3 linked regions of the Alligator mississippiensis genome follow. The protein of the gene in region 2 purifies or fractionates together with the protein of the main gene of each other region. This does not show direct contact. Links are inferred from orthologs where the notes say so. Each region holds a gene or a part of one and is shown on either strand. Other genes may lie near its edges. The genes, in order: SNRNP70, GEMIN4 and DDX20.

Region 1 (3,742 bases), on a different chromosome or scaffold from region 2:
GGGCAGGCCTGGGGTATGGAGGCTCTTGTGATTCAACGATTTGTAAGACATGGGTCAGAGGTCTTTGCCCTGGTTGCTATAGCATAAATTAGGGGTTGTCACCCTGCTTTCTGAGCCCTGGCTGCTATGGTACAGGTCAGGGATCATTGTCCCAGTTGCTATGGCATTGGTCAGAGGTAATCTTTGTGGTTACTATAGCAGATCAGCAGTCAATGCTCTGGTTGACATAGCAGAGGTCAGGTGTGATTGTTCTGGTTACTATGGCACGAGTCAGGGGTCATTATCCAGTTGCTATGGCACAGACCTGAGGTTGTTCCCCTGTTGCTATGGCATGGATCAGGGGTCACCATTCTGGTTGCTATGGAAATGGTCAGGGATTGTTGTCCCAGTTGGTATGGCAGAGGTCTAGGGTCTTTGCCCTGGTTACTATAGCATGGGTCACAGTTCACTGCCATACTTGCTATGGCCTGGGTCAGAGCTTATTGTTGCAGTTACTATGGCATGGGTTAGGTGGCACTGCTGCTTTTGCTATGGCGCAAGTCACAGACCATTGCCCTTGTTGCTGTGGCTTGGATCAGGGGCCATTTCTTCAGTTTCCGTGGCATGTGTCAGGACTCAATGCCCTGGTTTCTAAGACCTGGGTCAGGGGTCATTGTTGTGATTACTATGGCACAGGTCAGCAGTCATTGTTCTGTTGTCAGAGGAGCCAAGTACGTGGGGGCCCAAGGTCACTGGCCCCCCACGTGAAGCGGGGTGTCACCTGAAATGCATAAAACTTTCCACATGCCCATCATCTCAGGGCCCACACTGGCAAAAAAATAAAATTTGGTGCTTATGTCTGTTGCTATAGCATAGGCCTGGGGTGGTATCCCCAGCTGCTGTGGCATAGGTCAGGGTTATCGTGTGGTTGCGAGGACACAGGCCTGGGGTTGTTTCTCCAGTTGCAATGGCATGGCACTGGAGTCCTTGTCCTGGTTACTAGGGCCTAGGTCAGAGTCATTCTTGTTTGTATGGGACTGGTCAGCGGTTGTGGTTCTGGTTGCTATGGCACAGGTCAGGGATCATTGCCTCATTTGCTTTGACACAGGTCAGGTTCTGGTTGTTAAGGCATGAGTTGGGGTCATGGTTTTGGTTGCTAAGGCACAGGTCAGGGGTCATTGCCTTAGCTGCTATGGCACAGGTCTGGAGTCATGGTTCGGGTTGCCAAGGCACTGGTAAGGGGTCACTGGCTGAGTTGCTAGGGCCCAGGTCAGGGGTCATGGTTCTGGTTGCTATGGCACACGTCTGGGGCCGTCACCCTGGTTGCATGGCACTGACCTGGGGCGGTCCCCGTACTGTCACGTGGCTCCGCCTCCCGCCCTTCCCTTCCCCCCTCCCCGTGATCCGGGACTATTTTCCGACGGCGACCGCGGAAGAGCCTCGATTTTGACACTCGCGAACTTACCGCGAGTCTCGCGCTGCCTCCGAGACTAGGCCCGGCAGCGGAGAAATCCGGCGCGGTGAGAGGGTTGCGCCTGCGCAGAGCGGCGGAAGAGTAGGCCCGCGGCAGGCGGCGACGGCAGCAGCAGGAGGAGCTGAGCGCGGCGCGGCCCGGGCGGTGGGTGGATGAGGGAGGGAGGGCGGGAAGGAGCAGGGGGGTTGGGGGAGAAGGGAGTGGCGTATGGGGCAGGGTCTGGGAGGGGGACTGGGGTGGGTGTGTGGGGAGGGAGGAGGGCTCGGTGGGAAGGGGGCGGGCTGGGCTCGAGCCCAGTTGGGAGAGGAGGTTGGGGCAGGCAGGAGGAGCAGCGGTGTTGTGGGGGGGGACATGGGGGAAGAGGGTCTGCAGCCCAACAGGGTTCATGGCGGGGGCAGCGCTCCATGCAGGCTCCTGACGGGTCATTGTCTGCTGTTTCCCCATCAGATTCCCCACGATGACGCAGTTCCTCCCCCCCAACTTGCTGGCACTCTTTGCCCCCCGAGACCCCATCCCTTATCTGCCCCCTCTGGAGAAGCTGCCCCATGAGAAACACCACAACCAGCCCTACTCTGGCATTGCCCCTTACATCCGGGAGTTTGAGGTGAGTGCTCACTGCTCCCACCCAGCAGCCTAGCCTGGACTGGCTAATGCTGGACTCTCTCTCTGTTTCTTTGCTCTGAAGCCACCAAGTTTGCCCTCTGCCAGTTCAGGCTACCCTTATGTCTCCTTGGTGCCCTGCCACTATGCTGCTTTCTCTCTTCCAGGACCCACGTGATGCCCCTCCACCCACCCGTGCCGAGACCCGTGAAGAGCGGATGGAGCGGAAGGTACAACTGCCCTGCCAGCTTCAGAGGACCCCAGTGCCCCCTGGTGTTACAGCCAGCAGTGGTGGGAGAAAGGGGCTGGGGGCATTAAGAAGCCATCCCTGTATTATGTGGCAAAGGGGCAAGTTTGGGTGAAACTTAACTACCGCATTCTCTCTAATATTCTCTGTTGTTTCTCTTCTCCAATGATTCCAGCACAGGAAAAAGAACCCAGATGTTCTGGGTCTATTTCTCTTTTCTGCTCTAGCCTAGTGGGTTAAAGAGCTGGGAACCTGGATGTCTGGGTTCTGTCCCTAGAGAGGAGAGGAATGGGATTGAGTGGAGTTGGGGAGCTAGGAGCCAGGACTGGTGGGTTGTATTTTGTGACAGTTTTGTCCTTGGCCTTGGCTTACTTTGGAGGTGAGGTCCCCAGTAGCCCCATCTACAAGTTGAAGATAACAACCCCTCAGAGCATGTTGAGGGTGAAACAGTGGTATCTTTAAAAGTCATGGTTTGTGATCTGTGCCATAGTAACCAGAATGATGATCCCATGACCTAGGCCATAGTAGTCAGGGCAAGGCCCCCAGTCTTGAGCCATAGCAACTGGGGAAACAACCCCAAGCCTGTCCCATAGCAACCAGGTAGTTACCTGATGCAGCTCCACCACCTCCCCTGTTACCCCCTGGGATTACCGGTTCCCCTGGGAGGGGTTTCCAGCACTTTCTGGACCTGGGGAAAGCTACCAGCTGTTACCTGTTCATTTTCCTTTCTGCAGAGAAGAGAGAAGATTGAGCGGAGGCAGCAAGAGGTGGAGAGTGAGCTGAAGATGTGTAAGTGAGGGGGTGAGGTTCCTGCTCCGGTTCATCTAACCTAGCTCTGCAGCCTCTGCCCATCCTCAGCTGTGACTTATCCCACTTCTGACTTGGGTGGGAGGCCACCCAGTGACTGTGGGGGTGAGGGGTTCTCTTTGCCCACCTCTTATACATATCCTTGTTTTCTGCCCATCCAGGGGACCCACACAACGACCCCAATGCACAGGGTGATGCCTTCAAGACCCTATTTGTGGCCAGAGTAGTAAGTGTCTCCCCTTCTCCTTGCCTCTTATACTGTGTAGAAACAGCTTCCATATTACTTACCTGCGTCTAATCTTGGTTTTTACCATTAGGGTCAGGGGGGATCCTTTTCCGGGGTTCCTATCCTCTTCCCTTCCCCCTGCCCCCTGATCTTCCTGAATCCTCACCAGCCTGTCCTTTAAACCCTGTAGAACTACGACACAACAGAATCCAAGCTGAGAAGAGAATTTGAAGTCTATGGCCCTATCAAGCGGGTAAGAACCCACCTTCTGCATCGTGCCCACGAAGCTGTTTCAGCTTCTTCACAGCAAGGAAAGCCCAGGCATGGAGACAGTGCCAAATTCTGCACCCTTAGTGTGAATCCAAACCCCCTTTCAGGGCATGTGCCAGTGGCCACCTACTGTTGACCC
Region 2 (3,742 bases):
CACCCGATGCCAGTAATGTGTGTAGCTGTCTAGGAGCTTGCAAAGGCCAAGAAGGAGAGGGAAGGGGTGGCAGGTCTTTATCCAGTGTTCGTCCTGCCCCGACTGTAGCCCCAGGACCTTGTTAAGGATGTGCAGGCTTAGCTCAATGTGGGCACAGTCTGATTTCAAGTAGGGCAGGACGAAGGCTTGGGTCACCTCACCGGGAGAGAGGAGAGGACTTGCTGAGCCTGGCTGCAGGAGAACAGCCAAGAACTCTAGGAACTGCTCTTTCTCTTTTGCGGTAGACAGCTTCCCCCACACCGTCTCCTTCAGGCACCTCACCAGCAGGCTGCCCCCCCTGTCCAAGCCCTCCTGGGCTTCCTGGAAGCTCAGCGCTGGGAACGAGCACAGGATCTGTGCCAGGAACTGGTGTGTCCCCAGGTTGACGACTGCAAGGTTGCAAACCTTCTTCACTGTGGCCTCCGGATGGAGCAGAGCCAGCCTCGCCACCGAGGCCACAGCCTTGGTCAGGCCCTGATCTGACGCGCTTCGCGTGATCTGGTTAAAAGCCAAGTTCAGTTCCTCCTGGAAGCCCTCGGTGAAAGCCTTCAAGCTCAAGGATAGGCCCCGCCCGCCCCAGGAGTCCAGGACGCCCGAGATCACTTTGTTCTTGTCGGGCAGCGACAGCTCAGTGTAGCACTCCAGGATGGTTTTGGTTACCTTGACCTGCAGTTCCTGGCTCTCTCGGTTGCTGGAGGAGAGACTGAAAGTCACCGTGGTCTCCAGCAGCTTCAAAACCAGGTCTGGTTTCTGGAAGAGGACTTTGTTCTTGATGAGGCAGGTGACCCAGTCCCTTGAGAAGGCCCAGGCCTTCTCAGAAGCAAAAATGGAGCACATTTCCAGGTGCCTGTCCATCTTCTGCTCAATGATTGTCATGGCCACCGAGGCCATAATGCTGCTGTCTGAGTCCTTGCCCTGCAGGTCAGGGTTGATCTGCTTAAGGAAGCCCATGATGATCTCTGCCAGCTCCAGGACCACCTGCTTTTCATCCTTGCTCAGCTCCCTGGCCTCAGCAAAGCACAGCAGGTTCTTCCCGAAAGTGGCAAGGCTGTCGAGGAGTCGGTAGCCCTCGTAGCAAACCTCCTGGCGGCTGTTCAGCATGCAATGCAGCTCTTCACTCCAGCCCTGCAGCAGGTTGTGGAAGAAGCGTAAGCCGACAAAAAGTTCTTCGCTGGACAGCTTGACCACGGACAGCAGGCTCACGCTCCGCTCCGCCTCCTTCACCTTCTCCTCCAGCCCCCGCGGGTGGTAGCGGCTCTCACAGTCACCATTCCAGAGGATGACTACGGACGTGATCTTGTCCAGATACTCCACGGTGGGCAGCACGCTGGACTCCTGCTCTACTACAGTGAACACCGACAGCAGATCTACCAGGTTGGCCAGGGCGTAGCATTTCATTCTGGGAGTGACAATACATCCATAGAGATGCTTTAGCCCATCAACCAGGACTGTGAGCAGTTCGGTGGTAAGAGGGGAGTCGCGCATGGACAGGGGATCGCCTTTAAACCTTTTCGGAGGCTGGCAGCCCTCATCCAGTGGCTCAGACAGGTGCTGGTGGATAAGGGCACTGAATGTCACGATCATTTGGTCCTGCTGCCCCTCCTTGTGCTTCATGATTTCCCACCAGACGTCCAAGAAAAACCTCAAGTCCGATGGGGTCGTCTCGTTCACAACGTACTCAACCAACAGCTCGAGCTCCTGCTGACAGATGCCCGCGGGCAGCGCCAGCAGTAGCTGCACAAAGAGCCGGGGTGCATTCAGCGCTTTAAGCAGCTCAAACAGAACTGTGCGGTTGAGACGGGGGATCATGCTGCACACCGAGAAGAAGGCGTCATCTTTCCACCTCTGGTCAACCTTGGCGGGCCCGGGGCTGGGCAGGAGGATTTTGGCCCAGATGATCATGACGGCTTTCTTCTTCCAGCTGCGGGGCTGGGGCAGGGAGGTGGTGCGGCCAGCGCAGATCTCCTTCAAGGCATCGGTGATGGGTGGCCCGACGTGGTGCCAGTCAGCCTTGGCCAAATCCGCCAGTGCCTTGGGGTGATAGCGCTTCGCAGCCAGCAGGAACCCGCCGTGCAACACCGCGGTTTCCTCACAGATGTTCACGGGCCCTGTTCAAACGGCAATGCGCAATGTTAGAGCGGAGAGGAAGGAGCCCCCAGGGCTGAGAGCACGGGGCTGGCACTGGGAGGGCCTGGGTTTGCTGCCCGGACTCCTTGCACACCACGGGTGGCGCGTCTTTGCTCTCCGCGTGCGTAAAACAGGGCTAAGCAAGACACCCCTCTCTCAACCTGCCTCCTCTGGGGTGGAGCGTACGCAGCCCCTGCCAGCGCAGCGGGGCCCCTCTCCGCCTCTAGCAGCCCGAGGTACAAGGATGCTCAGCAGGTGCGAAGGAAAAGGCCCCACGCCCCTTTTTACAGCTCGTTTCCGAGCCGGCTAGCGCAGGTTCCTAGGGGAGCGAATCTCCCTTTCTATTCCGCGCTGCCCAGGCCACACCTCAGTCGTGTCCCGCTGCAGGCTGCAATGAAAAGGGCTGGGGACACGGTAGGGTCGGGGCTGCTTTAGTCTGCGGGGGAGAAGCGGGAGGGGGCTGCTCTCAGGGGCCGGGACAAGGGGCAGGGCCCGGCCGCGGGGCAGGGAGACGAGGGATAGCTCCGGGCAGGGCAGCCAAGGCCAGAGGTCTCCCTCTTTCCGTCCCTCCCTGTCCAGCCCAGCCCCAGGGCAGAGGGCACGCCCTGCTCGGACCCGGGGCCGGGCTCCCCGGCAGCCCCAGCCCCCGGCCGGCGCCACCCACCCGGCTCCATGGCGCCCCGCGCCGCTCTGTGATGCAGCCGCCCCCGCACCCACGTGGCGCCGCGGCCGGAAGCAGCGAGACCGGAAGCAGCGAGACGCGCGGCGGCACGAGTGGCTCCCGCGGAGCCAGCGACCCCTGGAGGCTCCCAGCAGCACTGCAGCGCGGTAATTCCCCAGCCCAGGAGGGGCTGGAGGGTGCAGAAGTGGCCTCTGCCCCTGCCCAGAGCCCGCAGCGGAGGAGGAGGAGGAGGAGGAAGGGGGCATCCACGGGCTAGGGGCTGGGGGCGGCAGGCACCGATCCTGGGGGGAGGCAGTGGCACGCTTCACCCTGACTGCACGCTTCGGTCCCAGGGTTTTACAGCCCTGTTCTCAGCCCAGGCACCGTGCCCAAACCCTCCGATCAGGCTCTCTTCCCCCGGACGAAGGAGAGGCCAAGTCCCAGAGAACTGCCGTTCTCATTTCAGGCTGAACGGTAAGGCCATGTGAAGTATTTCTGCTCACGGCAACTGTATTTCCTTCCAGTGGTCGCAGCCCGGGTCAGTCCCCCGCGCCTGGAGAAAAGGGAAGGAGGAGGGTCGGCCCTGAGCGGACGCCATGTCTCAAGCCGAGTTTGAGAAGGTGGCAGCTATGGTCCTGCAGATGAAGATCAAGGTCACCGATCAAGAGCTGCTGGAGATTTACAGTCTCTACAAACAAGCCACCATTGGCGACGTCAACATCTCCTGTCCCTGCGCGATGGATGTCAAAGGCAAGGCCAAATGGGAGGCCTGGAACGGGCGCAAAGGGATGAGCAAGGAAGACGCCAGGAAGAATTACATAACCCGAGTCCAAGAGCTCAAGAACAAGTACGGCGCGTAAATCAGAGCGCGTGCTGGGGTCTGGTCCCCCCAGCATGGGTCACTTCGTCCCCTCG
Region 3 (3,742 bases), about 41 Mb from region 2:
ATCAAAAGGTATAAATATATTTCTTATACATACCAATGAGACTTGGATCAGTGGGGTTCAGCCTCACAAAGGTAGGCTCTCTCATGTATCTGGTCAAAGCATTTGCCAGCGAATCTGGGTAGGTAGCTGAAACAGCGAGCATCTGTTTGTTGGCTGGCAAAGAAGAATAAATCCAGCTGAGGGAGAAAGACATTGAAAGGGAATGCTTCAGATAAGGTGTTTTAGAGCAGAGAGATTTTTAAGGTATGAGAGAAACTCAGTTTATTACTTGACTTGCTCCTGGAAGCTGCCTTCTTCCAAAAGCTTGTCTGCTTCGTCAAGGATAAAAAGGCGGATGCTAGCAGTGTTCAGATAGTCCAGCTCTATAAGTTGCTTTATTCGACCTACATCAAAGAAGAGTCGCTTGAGTTTCACAAATATTTACGGAAAGAATCTAACGACGAGACAAGAAATTATACCAACCGCAAATCTAAAACTTGCTATCTAACCCACTTCCTTAACAAACCTTTCTTTAAAAAAGCATATTTAGAATAATCTATAAACTATAAATACTTCTCTGGTCTAATTTTCTTTAACTTTGAGGTCTGAAACTGTCCCCTATGACTATGGGACAAGAATCAAGATTTCAAGTGTGCCAATTACTGTACTACAGAAAGTGTCTCATTGGTTTCTACCAAAGTACGCTGAAGTGGGTTCTTACCTGGGGACCCAACAGCTATGTGGCACTTTTTTAGTCTGATTTTATCTTGGTTTAAAGGGGTGCCTCCAATGAAGACGTGACATTCCAGGCCCTCCATTTTTATTCCAATAGTTGAAATAACAGCATGAATCTGCACAGCAATCTCTCTCGTGGGTGCTAAGATGAGTATCTGAAATGATGACGAATTTGGCTTTAAGACCAAACCAATGGCTTAGAGGGTTAAAACAGTCTTTCATCTTGAAACTACTGATTTAGTGACTGATGTTGTCTTATAGCCAGCCTAAAGCCTTTGCAAGTGTAAGTCTAGATAGCACTTGTTCAGTAAAAAGGAGACTGAATTTGCTCTACCCCTCCCCTAGCCCCTTGGGGATCTCTCTCCTAGAGCAGACTGGCATTTTATGGGCAGGATGCAACATCACAGCCCACAATATGTTTATGTGAGAAACAAGCAGAAGTTACCTGAACTAAAGGTCTCAACCTGGCATGGTACTTTTTACTGTAATTCATAACATTGGATTTGTAAACTTTAAAAATTGCCAAAAGCATGACATCTTCTTTATACTGTCCTCCTCCACCCCAACTTGTTTCATTTTAGTTCATCAAGCAGCCCGCTCCTAGTGTAGACACCAAATTAAACTAACAGCTCCAGAGCAGTACACTCACAGGGAGCTTCTGAGACTCGCACACTGAGGCTCAAGCACGATACACAACACACGAGCTTTATTCATTTCTTTCCATCACTTGCAAGGCTTCTAGCAGCCCTTGGACAGCTGCTTTCCCTTCGCCCTCTTTTACCTTCAATTATTCAATTAAACACAACAAAATGCACCGAGGGGATGATCATGGACTCAATACAGACAATGGATTTATAACATTACAACTTGCCTGACATCCGATTCACCAGGTACCTGACCTGCCAGACCTCCCTTTTACATTGCTCTTCTCCCTCCTCCCCACCCCCACCACTTTTCTGCCCTCTGTCTTCCTAATTTCCAGCCATTTCCTTTTCCACAGGCCACTTCTTTTCCACCTTCAATTACTACCTCTGTAGAGTCTCCCTTGATCACCCTCGGCTTTCTTTCCCCCGGCTTTTCTCACCCCTCCCTTCTCTATTTTACCTTCCGTTATCCTAATTTCTACCTATTTCCATTGTCACTCGCATCCTGCCACACTTTTAGCTTCTCTCGTTCCTTGCCGTCTCAGAACAGCAAAGACTCCCATTGCCTGACGAAGCACGAGAGCGCCCGAAAGCTCGCTAAAAACTTTTGTCCAACTTCTCGATTGGTCTCATAAAAGATATCGCGTCGACTCAAATAACCTCGCCTGCCAGATGAAGGATGTCAGGCGCTGCTGCAGCTCTCACACGCGACTAAAGTGAGGACAACATGTTTGTTATGGTGTGAAATAAGAAATTTTGGCAGGCGTGTCACAAACGAGCCCCTCGCCCTCCCCAAGTGCTACGCTGGTCCCCTGCCTGATCTGCTGCTCTGCTGTCTGCTCCCTGCCCCCTCCCTGACTTGGCAGGTGCCACGTGCAGAGGCTGCCTGTGCCACTTGGGGCACGCATGTCGCAGACCGGCTCACCTGGGTGGCTGGGTTCTCCAGCACGAGGGAGTCAAGGGCCACTGTCGAGAACACGCAGGTTTTGCCGGTGCCAGATTTTGCCTGGACAATGAGATCTGGTGGGGGAAGGGAGCACAGATTAGGCATCTGCCTGACCCTCCAACTCCCCTGCCCCCATCACTGACCCTCCCCTCCCCCCCGCTCTCACCCAGGCCGCAGCGGCCCAGCGGGATGGCCTTGAGCTGCACCGGCGACGGCCTGCGGAAGCCGGCGGCCTCCAGCCCCGCCAGCACCGGGGCCGACAGCAGCAGGGAGCCGAAGTCGGCCGGGCCGCCGGGCACCAGCACATCGCGGGTGCGAAAACGAGAGACCGCCACAGCGGGCGCCGCCATCTTGGAATGCGCGTGGATGCGCTCTCGCGAGAACAAGCAAAAGCTCGCGGGACTTCCGGGAAAGAACTTTATTGGCGCGGCTACGGATAGTGGAAGGAACCATGTGGTGTCGCGCGGGGGGCAGGGAGGAACCACTGCAGCCTCTGGAGACGGAGGCGGTTGGAAGAAACCATGACGGGGTTGAAGGGGGGGCAGGGAAGAGGCAGGCCCGAACCACTGCTGCCTTTTGTAGGGGGGAGGGATGAGGGAAACCAGCAGGGACACTGAGGGAGGGTGCCCAGCTGTGCCCCTTATCACACATGTGCCCGCCATCACACATGTGCTTGCCATCACACACATGCTCATTTATCACACACATGCTTATTTATCACACACGTGCCCCACAAGCTACCAACGCTTTCAGGCGAAGCAAGTTGCCAGAGCGCACAGTAACGCCCGCTCCCTTCAGATGTACCCACACACGTGTCCCACGTCAAACACACGCTGGCGGGCCCAAGAGCCGCTAATACCCTCGCACTAAGCGTGTTGCCAATGCGTGCCCACTATCACACGCGTGTCCCGTGTCAGACTAAGCAGGAGTCCGGCCGCACACAGCGGGACCCCAGGCTCCAAGCGTGGGAGGTGCCGTGCCCGCTGGCCTGTCCCACGGCCCAGGGGCAGGTTGGCGGGAGGCCGCCTCGCCTGGCTGCACGGCTCCCGCAGGCCTCGGCCGCCCGCCGCGCTGCCCTGAGGAGCGGAGCAGGGTGCCGGGCGGCCGTGGGCTCTCCTACGAGCCCCTCACGCTTAACAACAGGCCTGAAGAGGGTACTTCGTATCCAGAAAAGTGCCTGTTTCCCTCCCCGCGGCAGACGCCCCGCACAAGTCCTCGCCACACGCTATACCGCCTTCCTCAGCACCCGCAGGCCCCGTCGGCGTTGATGGCTAGGCCACCTCCCTATGCTGCCGTGCAAGACAGCCCGGTTGTCCTCGGTCCAATATTGATACGCAACCGGACGCCTTGTTGTCCTCTCTTTTTCTCTTGAAGAGACATCAAGCCGTCGGGTCGCGTATCAATCGAGGACAGAGTAGCGGGAAACGGGAACGTCCTC

What was found.
Region 1: the proteins of GEMIN4 (region 2) and SNRNP70 purify together in Homo sapiens (affinity purification with mass spectrometry; 5 studies listed by BioGRID and IntAct, counting the BioPlex papers as one, with this or other methods). This does not show direct contact. The link is inferred for Alligator mississippiensis from reciprocal best matches to the Homo sapiens genes GEMIN4 and SNRNP70.
Region 3: the proteins of GEMIN4 (region 2) and DDX20 purify together in Homo sapiens (co-immunoprecipitation; 7 studies listed by BioGRID and IntAct, counting the BioPlex papers as one, with this or other methods). This does not show direct contact. The link is inferred for Alligator mississippiensis from reciprocal best matches to the Homo sapiens genes GEMIN4 and DDX20.

Annotation. Positions count from the first base shown.
Region 1 is NC_081828.1:39,884,487-39,888,228, reverse strand, and holds the start of SNRNP70 (U1 small nuclear ribonucleoprotein 70 kDa), read left to right. Parts: upstream 1-1,487; 5' UTR 1,488-1,597; intron 1,598-1,900; 5' UTR 1,901-1,910; coding exon 1,911-2,057; intron 2,058-2,220; coding exon 2,221-2,283; intron 2,284-3,034; coding exon 3,035-3,089; intron 3,090-3,268; coding exon 3,269-3,333; intron 3,334-3,523; coding exon 3,524-3,586; intron 3,587-3,742. UniProt on the Homo sapiens protein: Component of the spliceosomal U1 snRNP, which is essential for recognition of the pre-mRNA 5' splice-site and the subsequent assembly of the spliceosome. SNRNP70 binds to the loop I region of U1-snRNA.
Region 2 is NC_081837.1:2,822,479-2,826,220, reverse strand, and holds the start of GEMIN4 (gem-associated protein 4), read right to left. Parts: upstream 2,908-3,742; 5' UTR 2,841-2,907; coding exon 2,831-2,840; intron 2,581-2,830; exon of another isoform or gene 2,148-2,580; coding exon 1-2,147. Other genes in the region: acyl-CoA-binding protein, read left to right, coding at 3,424-3,687. UniProt on the Homo sapiens protein: The SMN complex catalyzes the assembly of small nuclear ribonucleoproteins (snRNPs), the building blocks of the spliceosome, and thereby plays an important role in the splicing of cellular pre-mRNAs.
Region 3 is NC_081837.1:44,046,493-44,050,234, reverse strand, and holds the start of DDX20 (probable ATP-dependent RNA helicase DDX20), read right to left. Parts: upstream 2,686-3,742; 5' UTR 2,655-2,685; coding exon 2,471-2,654; intron 2,379-2,470; coding exon 2,284-2,378; intron 870-2,283; coding exon 701-869; intron 384-700; coding exon 269-383; intron 177-268; coding exon 34-176; intron 1-33.